Linked DNA regions of Lytechinus pictus. The protein of the gene in region 1 binds, or shares a complex with, the protein of each later gene. Links are inferred from orthologs where the notes say so. Each region holds a gene or a part of one and is shown in the gene's direction. Other genes may lie near its edges.

Region 1 (7,932 bases):
GGCCAAGTCATCAGAAATAATTATTATACCTGTTGTTGAAACACCTTCTCACCTCTTTGAAATCAATGAAATGCCTGCAAGCCTCATCGATTGTTGCCCTTTGTTACATTGCCTTGGACATCTGTTTCAAGTTGATATAAATTCTAGATGTAGATTACCCATGGCAATATATAAACACATGGGACTTCGTGCAGAAGTTTTTGTTTGGTTTGGGGGACGACAGATGTTCTCAGTCTGTTCCATCAGTGGCACTTCTGACGAATTATTTGCAAAAAAAATGTGAAGTAAGTCATTAGTAATTGGGTCAATCCACATCAAATTACCTGATTTTCAGAGAGTTGTTAACCTGACCCCTTTGAATTTTGCTAAAATTTGCACAAAATGTTCCCTCAAGTGTGTCATAGAGAAATTGAACAGAAAAAATTTGTTAGTGTTGTGAGCAGGGCTTTAAAGTTTGGTGCAAGATAGTACTGCAGTGATGACAGGCATTGTGTTGAATAAGTAAAAATGGCCCGAATTCACAAAGGTGGTTTTGAAAACCAAGGTCGAATCCATGGCTTATGCAGTTTCCTGTATAAATTACGCTTAATTTAGCGCGTATCGGGCGCGTGTATAAAACATTCCAATGCTGATGCGCGCTTTTGTCACAGTGCACCAAATTGACGCCTGTTACCATGGTAAGATATGCTATTTTATTCATGAATCCACTTTTTGAAGAATTGACTCATTATTTAAAACAGTGGACTCAACAATAAATTAGTGTGGATAACCACGGCAACAGGCTTCGATTTGGCGCACTGTAACAAAAGCGTGCATCAGCATTGGACATTTTTTTAATATACGCAGTAAATAAACGTAATTTATACAGAAAATCTGCATAAACCATGGACTCAATCATTCATTTTTTGTTCCTGTGGATATGTGGACACTTAGAAACCCTCTTGCATTTGAGGGAATGTATAGTTTGGGTGTCTTTACTTTACAGATATCATCTGCTCTTTGAGGCATTATTTCCAGGATGAAATATACCTGGGAACTACTGGTGATTTCACTTTGGCAGCTTCAGCAGCCCCTAAAGTTCTTGAAACCCAATTCTGTGGGGCAACCATTTTCTCTATTCGGCCTTGCCTCGGCTCCAAACAAGCAGACCTCAGAGCAGCAGATTTATCAAATAAGGAGAACATTTGGGTATTAGCAGTTGAATATGGCGGCTCCTTTGGGCCAACTGACATATTCATGTAAAGGGTGATTCCATACGTGTCGTACGGGACATTTAGAGAACATTTGACAGTTTTTTGACAAGAAAAACTAAATATATTCCAGTAACTAAAGGTGATCATCAAGTACTACCAGAGTGTTAGAAAAACAAAGACTTAACATAACTTGAATTCACATCCTGTATAATACAGATTTAAAATAGTAATGTGTCGTACGGACGCAGAAAAAGTGACTTTTTTAGAAACCTCAAGTTTGTACTCTAAAGTCTGTGAGTTGGACAGATAATTTTCATAGAAACTGAACTCAAATTGATATTCAATTACCCAAGAACAAACACATCTATGAAAGAAAGCAAAATAATCCTTCATGAATAAATAAAGCAAATTGCAATTTTCGAGAACATTGTGGCGTACGGGACACTCAAAATGTGTCGTACGGGACATCTCTAAATTGAAGCCAAACTTTCTTACTTTATGTCTCTTTGACTTCTTCAATCACTTTATTTGGCTGATGATAATGATAATCCTATCAAACTAAAGACATTCATTATGTTAGAAACCGCTATTGGCTGAATATTTCTGTCAATTATCATAAACAAAATAATGTGTCGTACGGGACACTTGTGTGTCGTACAGGACACTTCTGTGTCGTACGGGACACTTGTGTGTCGTACGGGACACTTGAGTGTTGTACAGGCACTTGCGTGTTGTACTCGGCAGCCTGAATAAAACAATGAACTTTTTATTAATCAGAAGGGGAGCATTGCCCCTAAATTCTTCCTTTTTAATGAAAAGTCTTTTAATAAGTAGTCATTCAGGACAATATAATTAAGTAACCTCAATATATACAATCGGAAGCAATATGTCATCATTTTATTTTCATGATGGGAAATGTACAAGGGTTCACAGCATTTTTACGGGCTGAAAAACTTGAGGTTTTGTGTGAAGTTATATTCAGTGAATTAATTGATGATTTCCAATACACTATTTAAACAATGAATGAATGAAACTGTTTGTGTAAATTATGGGGCTAAAATGTTATAATTTTTCATATAAAATGTATATATACATGACAACTGTCACTTGTAATTCCACAAAATATATTTTTCTAAAGAAATTTTTTTCTACTTGTTCAAACCTTTCTGCATTTCATGAAACCATATGGTTTGTCTTATTTTCCAGATTTTTTTGTGAACAACATGGTTTGTCTTATTTTCCAGATTTTTTTTACAACTTGAAAAAAGTAAGGAGTTTCAATATTGTATATAAAAAAGTAAGTGATCATCAAGGGAAGTCCAAATAGATGATTGATATGTAATTTTTTTACATCTTATAATAATTCCACATTAGCATGCAAGAGGAAGTCATCTTCCAGGCTAGGGTGAATCAATTATAAAGGTTTTCTTTTCACGCTCAATGACAAAGAAATTAACCTGCTCTGACCAAAGAAAATCACCAGTTTAGCTGGAGGGATTCAAAAAAGAATACGCCTACATGAAATCAATTAAAATGGTTAGAATCACCTATTTCATGTTCTATGGAGATAAAAAAAGTACCTTTTCAGTACACTTTATGTCAAATCAATTACTTGAATTAAAATAGGTCTACTATTTATAGTTTCTGAATCCAAATCATGTAATTAAATGCATTATGTATTGTGTGTCGTACGGGACAACTATTAATAGGACAATTATTGAAAAATGAAGGACAGTAATTAGATCCTTATGGGATAAATCGATCACCCATGGGTCAAAGATAGAGAAACTGATTTTGTGAAATTGCATCATCAAAAAAAAAATTGTAGGAAAAACTTTTGCACTTTCATGTGTGGTACGGGACATTGCCAAAAATAGGTTCGGAAAAATCAGGGCTGCCCCTATTATGGATCATGAAAATGTTGTAGATATTATTTGGAACATTCAATGATACATTATTCCATTGACCTGCTATATTTTCAGTCTTCTCGTGCTTTGCCAATAATTGTTTCAGGCAGTGTTTGTACTTGACTATTTAATCAGCAAAATTATTGTCCAGTTGTCATGACGATTATCCGCCTTTTTCAAGACGGGCGCTCGTAAAAATAATTTATGGAGTTTGTGAACGCAATTTTTATTGAATTATCCGCATTACTCTTAGGCGGCTAATTGGAGGATATGTTTTATTGGGTTTATGAAAGGGGTATTAGACACTCACCAGAACTACACACATCGCAATCCATCGTGTGTGGCCCCCTGCTGTGACTGTATATGCCGGGCTGTTGTGTTATCTTCAGACCGAGGTCAAGAAACAGGTGTTTTGATACTTAAACTGCTTGCTTGGTACAGTTAGGGTATGAGGCTGTTCTCACTCAGTTCCTGAAACTAGTTTAGTGGAAACTAGTTTAACGCTAAGTGAGAACGGTCGAAGCGCTCTTGGAAGCGCTCTTCCAAACCAGTTTGGAAGACCACCTCGCGATGTAGTTTTCAAGATCGCTTCGCATCGGAAAAGTGGTTTTAGCGTAAGTGAGGACACAACCGTTCTTCGGGAAGCGATCTTCGCACATTTTGAGCGCGCTACTCCACACGACAGGTGTAGAATGCCTATGCTGCGGTTTCGAATTTCGCGCGAAACGTGTCACCCCACTGAGAGCGTTTCCATAGCAACAAGAGCGCTTTACGTGAAGTGATTTTGAAAACCACTTTCGTGTGATCAAGTGAGAACGCTAGCAAAGCGATCTTCCAAACTGGCTTTCTGAACCGGTTCCCAGTAAACTAGTTTTAGGAACGTAGTGAGAACAGCCTCTTTGTCTTACTTGGAGAAGAGAATTGATGAGAAGGGAAACTGAGGTATAGTGTTCTCAAATTGAGGTTTTCGTCATGATTTGTTACTCTTTTGGTTTTATATCAAATTGAGTATACTTATTCTTACTCTAGCACGAATAGTAAGTACTGTATAAACAATAGTATAGAATAATTTACAACGTTCGAACCGTGAAATCTTTGCTGTTCTCGATAATTCTTGTCTGGTCTCTGACCCTGTACTCTAGGCTGAGCTCGATTCAAATTTCGAAATAATGTGTTGATGTACGTCCGTCCAGGCCAGTCCGCACCTCCGCTCGCTCGATGCAACTTACAAGTAGTTACGGGGAAGGGGGTATGTACATGGTCGGCTTGTATAAATAGCCATCGAAGTCTCCATATCACTATAGGGTCTGGGAAGGAGACCGCCAGGGGGACATTCCCAGCCTGCACAAGGGGACGTTTAGCGATAGGTCAATCCTTGGATATTTTTTCCAATCTACTCCCTTTTTTAGGCCGGGGCAATGATGGGACAAAATTTGAGCGGGTAGCCAACGCACCCGCGCTCTCTGTGCCTGCTGGCAGGTTTTTTCTGCCCGCCGGCGAGGTTGTGTTCTCATGTTCAGTACTTGGTGGGGTTTCCATGCCCACTGCAATATTGGGTTCTTTATCAGGCGGATTTGAACTCAGACATCGGCAGCGGTGTAAGAAAAAGAAAATTAGAGGCACAAAAGTTGCATTTTATCACCTGTACAATGCACTTATGTGTTGTTGGAAGGGCGCGCGGTCGTGAAAGAGGAAGTGACGAGGGATGTAGGTCACAAGGTGACCCTGACGGGTTGCACGCTGTATGTGCCAGGGGCATGCAGAAATTATGTGGGAGATCTTACCAGTGTTGTTGAGGGTGGGGTGGGGGTGAATAGCAATGTTTAACAGGGACAGGTGAGTATGCCTCATTCGTAAATAAGACACTCACTGACTGAGTGTCGTTCTTTACTATACATTCAGCTAAGTTCATCTCATCATCTTGGCTAGCAGCCCTCTTTTCTAACACTTGGTTTGCCTTCTCTTGCTATTCAAGGTGCTTCTCCGGGTCCAGGTTTTTCCCTTTTAATTCAGTTATTCTGTGACTCTCAAATTCCAAGGTCCTCTGGTTCTTTTTATGCTATCTTGCATTGACTTGACTGCCTTTTCCATGATCTTCTCGAAATTGTCTGTTGCAGCTTTAAGATGGACTGTAAGCTGAGGTATGGCCAGGGGAAGTGGTGGAGCGTGCAGCATGGTTAGCTGGGCCAGTAGGGTCGGCAGCATCACCTTCCAGTTCATCGTTCAAGATATTGAATCTTCCACTGGTCTCAATGTTGGATTTATTAACAAATTTATCTCCTTTATAAGACATGATAAATATTATTAGTTACAAGTCAACAAGGGTAGTAAGAACTATCAACGTAATATGAAATATATGATTGAGAGATGGTATATATGGTGATAATGAAGTATCTAGGGAGATACTGTCACTTAGTTAGCAGCCATTTGGTCTTATTCGGTCTATGTTACAACGTATAAATGTCAAGTCATGCTTGTAATATATTACATAGAAACACTGTAAAAGATTTTGTATGAGCTGTTGCATGAATTAAATTTTTTTTTTTTTTTCAATTTAATTTGATGTACACAGAAGCATATGGTAGAAACACAAGTCTTCTTCGCCATGCCAGTCTTCCACGTGAGGTGGTATGCACTGAGAACTTGACCCCCTGGAAAAAACTGCTTCCTTGTGACTCAAAGGTATGTGATTAAATTAATTTTTGCTTTAAAAGTGCATGTATTATTTATTGTATAATATTGGTATCTCATTATAGGTTTAAGGTAAGCAGGATTTCAATAACGTGTGTTTGATATTTATCCTTGTATATTTGAGGATTTTAGAATAATCCTAGTATTTCAGGAAAGAGTGGACTGAAATTCTTGTTTAGTCAGGACTGATTTCTGGCTTGCTACACCAAATTTGTGAGATGCCTCCAAGAGGCTGAATGAATTTTATAGGGTACATTTATCTACAGTTTGTGAATTCCTCAAAGTGATGCCTTGTAGACATATTTTCTAATATCTACAAAGCCATACAAGAAAACATTTTCTTTAAGGAATAATTTATGAATGTAAATTTAGGAATTAAGCAGAAATACATTCTGTTGCATTATATATATATTCATTCTCTTAAAGTATAAAACAACTCTGTGATGTGCATGGTGCACGATGTTATAAAAAAATGTTGATAACTTGTTCATCTTTTTTTTTCTTGGAAGGCTGGTCTGGCATCACTCTTCAAAGCTGATAAGTTGTACAATGCCCATTATCATTCCTTGGCAGTCGATATACGACCAGTTTGTCGGTCAGGAATGATCCCTTGTAGGGAGTCAGCAGTACAGCTCAGTCAATCACTGAATGTTGTCTTTGGACCCTTGGCACAGAACAGACAAGGCACTCGCCAAGATGTTTCTTTGAGAGTCCTGTTTGGGAAGGTTTTGAGTGGTCCATGTCCAATGGCATCTAGCAGCAGGGTAATCGTGGATTTATCAAAGAATTATGTAAGTCTGTTTGGATTCAACTTCAATGAACACTTTTACTTCAGTTTATGTAAGTTTTGTACATTGTTATACCAAAATACTTCATTTAGTAAGGTGAGACGTTAATATCTGAGCTCTCATGCCGTGAAGTTCATGAGGTTGAATTTGTATATCAATAGAGAACCCCTGCGGCCATCGCGGAGTCACATAACCAGCCTGTGCAGCCGTGATTTTGGCACCTGCATTTTTTTCGCGGGCATTGGGCCAGCAAGCTAAGAGTTCTTCACGGGTTCATAACCTGTATTGTTTGCCATGAGAACTTGTAGTAGTGCAACTATTGTGATTCGAGCAATATTTTCGCCGTGCGAAATTTTTTGACCACGTCGCTTGCTGAATTTTTACTTTCAAGTCTTGTACAACTTTTGAGACCAGTTTTGTGTCATCCAGGTACGCCGTTCCGAAATTACGCAACATTATGTAAGTGCATGTCAGACCAAAAATTTGCTTAAAAACATGATTTCGTGTACAAAGTCAATGCAAACTGTGTTTTCAACCAAAAATCATAAATGTATGATTATTTTTAGTTTTGCCAGTCTAAATGTATTTATTTTATGCTGTTTATGATCTCAGAAGAGTCCCCTACAAATTTCATTGTAAAAACAATGAAAAGCGAAAGGTCCAAAAAAACAAAGAAATACATAAGAAATTGCAAAAAACAATATAATACATAAGAAATTGATCTGATATAACAATTTTTTAATGTACACTTGCTAAGAACAGCACAACGTTTTTTATACCAAAAATTAGAACATTTTGAGCTTTATTTAGGGAGCTAAGGGAAAAATATGATTTCACATACTAATTACGCATAAATAATAGCATAAACCCTAATAGCAATTTGCATGAAATAAATTACTATACAATATTGTACATTATGTCCCAGACAACCTGCGTGCCAATTTTCGGCGCGATTGCATGGCCAATGGCCGAGATCTCAAGGGGGGCCTGGGAGGACCGCCCCCCCCCTCCCCCCATAATTAGCATAATCACTTAATAGCAATTTGTATAATATAATTTATAGCAATAAATAGCATTATATCCCAGACAACCTGCGTGCCAATTTTCAGTGCGATTGCATGGCCAACGGCCGAGATCTCACAGGGGGGGCTGGGAGGACCCCCCCCCCGGCCATATGAACTTCCAAAATACCCCGGCCTAGATAGGGTTAAGGGCAGGGCTCGAAATTAGCGGCTGCCTGGGTGCCATTGGCAACCAAAACTACCAGTGGGCAACCTGAAAGTCCCGCCATGGTTGCCCTGATGTCAACCAAGAAAATTCTGGATTTTTTTTTCTCAAATAGAATAAAATTCT
Region 2 (6,921 bases), on another chromosome or scaffold:
TTTATTGTTTTGCTCTAGCATTTTAGTCATTCATGGGATTTTAATCCGATGAGTGCATGTCTAAAAGCTTCAGTATGTCTGTTGTAAGGCTATTTTACGATAATAAATGTTAGTAAGTGCGACTCTAAGTAGAGTTAAGTCATACCCCAAGATCCAACCTTGTTCACTGAATAAATGCCCAGATCCAGCTCATCAATTACTTAGCATGATTAGTTACGAACAAACTACAGCTGGCAGCCGTCTGTTTCGAGGAGTTTTTTAACATTTTCATTTTTTTTTAATTTCTCCTCATACACAGACGGCTCGCGATCGTGCAGCTGCCATTAGGGGGTTAACAATGCAAAATCCCCCAACGGGGCTCATTCATAGATTTTTGTCTTTATTTCATAAAAATATACAAAAAGAACTGGACCAAAATTAAGATTATTATTTCGTTTTGGCCTGAAATGCACCAAAATGGGGAAAAATAAACTTAAATTAAAAGGAAAAAAACTTTAAAAAGTGACTTGCTTCGGCTGTCGCGCAACTCCCACTTCCCTGGTTTATCTGAACTTAATACATAAACATATGGCCATTGAGTCCCTGTACAGATCGAGTTAGAACTTCAGTCTCTGTAATAATTAGTGAGTGGAGCCAACGGAGTTGAGCTTCAGCCAAACAAATATAACAGAGACAGAAGCTTTTATTTTTGTTTTAAGTTTTGGTCTACAAGTACAATAGTACTACAAACAAACATGCCCGATAATATTTAATAAATTAAAATAAATGTTCATCCGAGCATTTATTTTTTTTCAGTCTATGCCCATAATCAAATTAATATGGCACAGTCACACAATGTTGTGATGATCGCGATCGTGATCTTGGCCATTTCATTTCAGGCCAAGGCCAATGGCAATGCCGTATTCCCAGGCCAAGGCTACGGGCAGAGCCGGGGGCAGGGCCTGGCGGACATGGGCCATGCCCATGGCGGAGCAAAGGATAAGCTGGTGCGGAAATTCCAACCTCAATGTGCACCTGCCATTTATTATTACTAACTCACCGGATCTGTTTGTTTCCCTTCTTACAGTCAAAGTTTTATCTCTGTATATCATCCAAACAATGTCAACATTCGAAATGTAAATAAATGTAAACTATCTCATTTCTTCCCACAATTTTGCTGCCCATGATTGATCTACAAAAGGCGCAGCAGACGTACGTGACGTGATCGATCGAAAGGTCCTTGTCACATGCTAATATTCTTTGTCACGTGATATTCAGGAAATGGTATATTCTTTCTGATCTGGGATAGTCAGAGGGATTTTTTATAGAGGGGCCGATTTCACGAAAGGGTCTTTCCAAGGACCGTCTTTCGTGTCGCCCATCTTTTATGACGCACTGTATGCTGGATAATTCTTAAATGTACGATAAACAAATAAAATTTGTTTGCTAGCATTTAAATCAATTTGTATACAATTTCATGATATAGCACATCATTATGTAAATAAAGATTTGAATAAAATATGTTTGCAGGTAATTTATTTAAAATGCGTTTAATTCACATGGCGCATCTTAATAAATGGGCGACACGAAAGACGGTTCTTGCAAAGACCCTTTCGTGCAATAGGCCCCATATCTCTATGAGAGATACTGATAATATATCTCTATATATGGGGATAGGATTCTCTTCTCGGGGGGGGGGGGGTCCTCAAGGGTAGGGCTAGGGAAGGAGGAGTGGGTCACTGCATGGGTGTTGATCCCGGATAGCCTGGATTATATTCACGGTAGAGGGCCGTCACGTGATGATATGATAATGAAGATAGTAGAATTAAGGGAATAGAATATATTTTCAGTTCCAGGCCCGGATCCAGCTTTTGCCAATAGGGGGAGGTAGCAGAAAGATATTTTCATCCAGCTGATTTGGGGTTAGTTTTTTCGAGGGGGCATGCATGCATGCAGTCCTATAAACTTTTTGAGTACATTTGATATATCTCAGCTTTACTCTCAATTAAGCAGAGCCTTAATAAATCATGCGAGTGCAATTAATACCCGAACGGCATATTTATGGTTATATTCCCGGGATTTAAAGGAGAATGAAACCCTTGAAACCAGCTGAATCCATATCAAAGAGAAAAATCAAAGAAACATTTTGTTGAAAGTTTGAGGAAGATTGAATGAATAATAAGAAAGTTATGAGCATTTGAATATTGAGATCACTAGTGCCATGTAGATCCTCCCATCGGCAATGCGACCAAGATCTGTGATATCACACACGTACAACTCCCTCATTACTTTGGTACTTATTTCACTTATATTCTCACTTTTATAGAGTCTATCACAAGGTGAGGTGTTCTCTTTATGAGATGACAAGTACAGAGGTTTCACAACATTATATCATTGATGAATCGTTTGTCATATGATTAGAATGAGCAAAAAGAAATGTTTTGGGGTATATTTTCAGTGTCCAAATGGGAGAGTTGTACGTGTGTGACATCACAGATCTTGGTCGCATTGCCAATGGGAGGATCTCCATAGCATTAGTGATCTCGACATTCAAATGCTCATAACTCTTTTATTGCTAGTCCTATTTTACTCAAACTTTTGTTGATCTTATTTTTTGATTTTTCTGCTTTCACAAAAGCTAACTTGCTCCAAGTGTTTCATTCTCCTTTAAGGAATAATTTTTTAATTCACAACATTTCAAAACTTATTTATTTCTGGAGTTTGGATTTTATGTTTGGCTATAACTTGCAGATATTTCCATCGGAGCAATTTTCGCCGGAGCAAATGTAAGGTGCAACCATCTTTATCTTTCTATCTATCTATCTATCTATTTAATATCTATCTATTTATATATCTTTCTATCTATCTATCTATATATCTATCTATCTATTTTTCTATCTATATCTATCTATCTTCTATCTATCTATCTATCTATTTCTTCTTCTTCTTTTCCTTTCTTTCGTTCGTTTGTTCATTTGTCTGTTCATTTGTTTCTTCGTTCGCTCGCTCATTCACTCGTTCGTTCATTCATTTGTTCATTCAGTCAGTCAGTCATTCATTTATTCATTGATCATTCCGTTCATTTAGGCCTACTCACTTTAGTTCAAATACAATCAAAGGACAAGTCCACCCCATCAAAAAGTTTATTTGAATAAAAAGAGAACGTTCCAACAAGCATAACACTGAAAAAAGTTATGACATTTTAAAGTTTCGCTTAATTTCACAAAACAGTTATATGCACATCCTGGTCGGTATAAAAATGAGGAACCTAACGATGTCATCCACGTCACTATATCTTTTGTATTTTATTTTATGAAATGTGAAATATTTTATCTCCTCATTGTCAAGTGAAACAATGATTAATTCCTCCATGATCATGTGGAAGTAGCATATTATTTAATACTATATGGTTCAGTCAAGTTGGTCCTTATTGTCAAAACTGTAAAAAATGAAATATTGTAGAATTCAAACAATAAAAAACAAAAGAAATAGTGAGTGAAGTACATCATCGACTGTCTCATTTGCATGTCACTGAGTTGTACATAATCACGGTTTTGTGAAAAATAAGCGAAACTTTAAAAAGTCATAACTTTCTTGTTTTACCTCCGATTTTGATGAAATTTTGAAAGTTATGCTAGTCTGATTTTTCTCTATTATTGATTTTTTTTTTTCTGGGGTGGACTTAAGTAAATTATCTCTGGCCTTAGCTCTCATGCAGCATTGAGACTACAAAGAAGAAAAATGCAAAGATATGCGATAAAAAATAATGTATGAAAATAAGATTAGAGCAAAAGTACTGGAAACACAACAAAAGCTACAATATCCCCCCCCCCCCCAAAAAAAAAAAGATGCGCTAATAGCAGACGACGCCGGTCGTCGCGATATCGGGTAGTCGGGTACCCGCGGCCGCGCGCGCGCAATACCGGTATCGCCTGGAAAATTTGTAGATTTGACCGAGTCTGAGTCTGAGACTGTGAGACTCTGAGTGAAATTTTGGCGTAAATTGCTGATTCAGCATTTATTTGCTCCTCAACTATGGCTAAACAAGGGTCAGAACGCGAGGAGAGTTCAGGTAAATAAGATAAAATTATAACTTTGTTAAATATTTTTTCTAGTGTCGATTAATTAAGTTCCAGCTACCAATCAGTATCTCAGTGACCTTCGGTCCCATGTGTGGAGATTGGTGTAACGTATGCGCGTCTTTCTTGTAATAAGTTGTTAAACTTAAAAATTAAGACTTTGTGTGTCATATGTTAGCTATAGAGTAGGGCCTAGACCTTATCGCAAATGGATATACGCAAAGGATCACGGGACCCCAGCTTGCATGCTTCCTCTTTCTTTCTTTTTCTTTCTTCCTTCCTTAATTTTTAATCCTTACTTGCTACCTTTCTTTCTTTCTGGCGAAGTTTCTCTTTTTTCGTTTCTAATTCTATCCTTTCTTCTATCTTTCCCGCTTGCCTTTTTTGTTCCATCTATCTTTTCAATCTTTCCTAGCTTTCTTTCCTGATCTTTTTTCTCTCTCTCTATGTTCATTATTCTTTGTTTCCTTTGCTTTGTTTTCTTGTACTTTCCTTCTTTCTTTAAATTTCTTCATTTTTTTTTTTGCTTCCTTGGCTTCTCCCTTCCTCTCCTTTTTCTTTTTCCGAAGTTTTTGTTCTTTCTTTCTTTTCCTTCTTCCATTATTTTCTTCTTTTTAAAAAATTCTCTCTTCACTTCATTCTTTCCTTCCACTAAAGTTTCATCCTTTCGTTCTGTATCTTCTTTCCTTCTCTTTTTCCTTATTCTTTCTTTCCTTTTTTCCTTCCTTCCTGAAATTCCCCTTTCTTTCTTTCTTTCTCTTTCTTTCTTTGTTTTCTTTTTTTTCTTAAAAAAAATGCAGGAAATCTTTTTTCTTCATTCTCTCTTTCTCCTCTTTTTCTTACTTTCTTCCTCCCCCCCCCCCCCCCCCGGCTTTTTTATTTCTTTCCATTCTTTCTTTCACCCATTAATTCATTTTCCCTTTCTTTCGTTTTCCTGTTCTTTTCTTTCCCTTTTTCTTTATTGATTTCAAAGAATGGAGGAAACCTTTTTTTTTCTTTCCTTTATTCTTTCTTTCTTCTCCATTCATCTCTTTTCTTTCCTTTTTTTTCTTTCTCTCCTTCATCCTTTCCTTCACCCATTCATTCACCTTCCCTTTTTCTTTCTTTCTTTTTTTCTTTTCTTTCTTTTTTCCTTCCTTCCTTCCTTTCCTTCTTTTTTTAGTTATTTTCAGTGATTCCCCTTTTTATTTTGTGTCACGTTCATATACAAAAGCACATGAAAATATATGAGGGAGAAAATTAATCAAATGGTGTATTGACACCAATTTCGGTCATAGGAGGTAAAATCACTCCTAGTACCAATGAGGTCCAAACATTACATGTATGGACCTCATAGGCGACATAAGTGATAAAACCGGTTAGACATTGCCGTTTCTATTTGCACCCAAGGACTTTGGCAAATGTACGCCTTAATACAAATTGGATGGTAAAATTTTTGGTATGAATTAGTTTTAAACATCATAAATAATCTTTTACAATGTTTAAAAGTTAATGGATTGAGGTTAAACTTACATTTTCAGTCTTTTTTCTTGAATTCTTGGTGAGCGTTCCAAACGCTGTGAGGACTGATCAACTCCGATGTGATTCACGTACTGGTCAGCTGATCGGTCAGGTGATCGGTTGTTATCGGTTGGTTATCTTATTGTCAGACGTTCATAATTTATATTACAATATATCAATCTTCAGTATCTTGATTTCAAGCATCAGTATTGCAGAGAAAAGTCATTATACTAGATTGGAATCAGTGGCAGATCGGGGGGGGGGGGGGTTGAGCATTTCTGGCCTGTTCCACCTTTTGAGATTCATAGTCAATATTTTGGATGTAAAAAAGAAAATATGTCGTTCATACAAAGTTATGTCCCCCCCCCCCCCCCCACCTAGCTCCCTTATGAGAATCACAGCAATATTTGTAATGGGGATATTTTGTTCATATTCTTTGCCCTTTTTTGCTTCTCAAATTTATTTTACTTTGAACAATATGACTTTCTATATTTAGTGACAAACTTTTTTATGGGGGGGTGGGGGGCTTGCCAAATATAACGCAGGACAAGATGACCTTCTTTTTTTAGTGACAACTTCTTTTTTTTGTCAAATTTTACGAGAGACAAAATGACCTTCGATCATTATTAGTTAAACCTTTTTTTTTGGGGGGGGGTAGGGGGCTCGCCAAATAGTGACACACTTTTTTGTAAAATTTTACGCAAGAAAAAATGATCTTCAATCATTATCAGTTACCTTTCATTCGTTTTTTTTTGGGGGGGGGGGGGCTTGCCAAATTTTATGTGGGACAAATGACCTTCATTTTTTAGTGATTTTTTTTTTATACTTGACAAATTTTAAGAGGAACAAAATGGCCTTCAATCATTTTTAGTTAGAACCTTTTTTTTTTGGGGGGGGGGGGCTTGCCAAATATTTCACAGACAAAATGAACTTCAATTTTAGTGACCAGCTTTTTATTACTTTTAAAATTTCACGCAGGACAAAATGACCTTCACTTTTTTTTTTATGTTAACCTGGGGGGGGGGGCTTGCCAAATATTACACGGACAAAATGACAGTATTTTATTTTTAGTGACCATTTTTTTAAATACTTTTTTTCAAGCTCGTCAGGGGGGCAGGGATACGTCATTTGCATGGGTTGTGACTCATCGGGGGGGGGGGGGGCAGTGTCTGCCCCCCCTTGCTCCCCCCCCCCCCGTAGGTACGCTAGTGCTCGGGACCTACATTACGTAACTTTTATCTTCCACATATATATATATATATGCCCCCTCTTATATACCCCTGTTATGCCCCTGCACAGACTCGTCTACATTGATTTCGATATTTAAGCGTCATTATAAAATTATAACAAAATGAGCGCCTTG

What was found.
Region 2: the proteins of GPI transamidase component PIG-T-like (region 1) and GPI transamidase component PIG-S-like are in contact, whole or in part, in a cryo-EM structure (PDB 8IMY), measured with the Homo sapiens proteins. The link is inferred for Lytechinus pictus from reciprocal best matches to the Homo sapiens genes PIGT and PIGS. Residues at the interface, in NP_057021.2 of Homo sapiens: Pro26, Arg27, Val63, Ser64, His65, Tyr66, Arg67, Lys71, Gln75, Lys79, Tyr80, Val133, Gly136, Lys191, Leu193, Pro194, Cys195, Ser196, Lys198, Ala199, Glu270, Pro271, Pro273, Leu274, Tyr526, Ile529, Cys530, Cys533, Val536, Ala537; in NP_149975.1 of Homo sapiens: Thr9, Glu12, Val13, Gly16, Ala19, Ala20, Phe23, Thr230, Pro238, Lys239, Tyr244, Ile247, Glu248, Val251, Gln256, Val270, Asp271, Ser272, Gln273, Ile274, Tyr276, Tyr277, Met279, Ser309, Arg310, Ser313, Ser314, Ala315, Ala316, Phe513.

Annotation. Positions count from the first base shown.
Region 1 is NC_087246.1:41,755,634-41,763,565, forward strand, and holds the start of GPI transamidase component PIG-T-like, read left to right. Parts: upstream 1-4,919; coding exon 4,920-4,936; intron 4,937-5,217; coding exon 5,218-5,276; intron 5,277-5,672; coding exon 5,673-5,782; intron 5,783-6,300; coding exon 6,301-6,582; intron 6,583-7,932. UniProt on the Homo sapiens protein: Component of the glycosylphosphatidylinositol-anchor (GPI-anchor) transamidase (GPI-T) complex that catalyzes the formation of the linkage between a proprotein and a GPI-anchor and participates in GPI anchored protein biosynthesis.
Region 2 is NC_087245.1:38,640,889-38,647,809, forward strand, and holds the start of GPI transamidase component PIG-S-like, read left to right. Parts: upstream 1-3,906; 5' UTR 3,907-4,014; coding exon 4,015-4,051; intron 4,052-6,921. UniProt on the Homo sapiens protein: Component of the glycosylphosphatidylinositol-anchor (GPI-anchor) transamidase (GPI-T) complex that catalyzes the formation of the linkage between a proprotein and a GPI-anchor and participates in GPI anchored protein biosynthesis.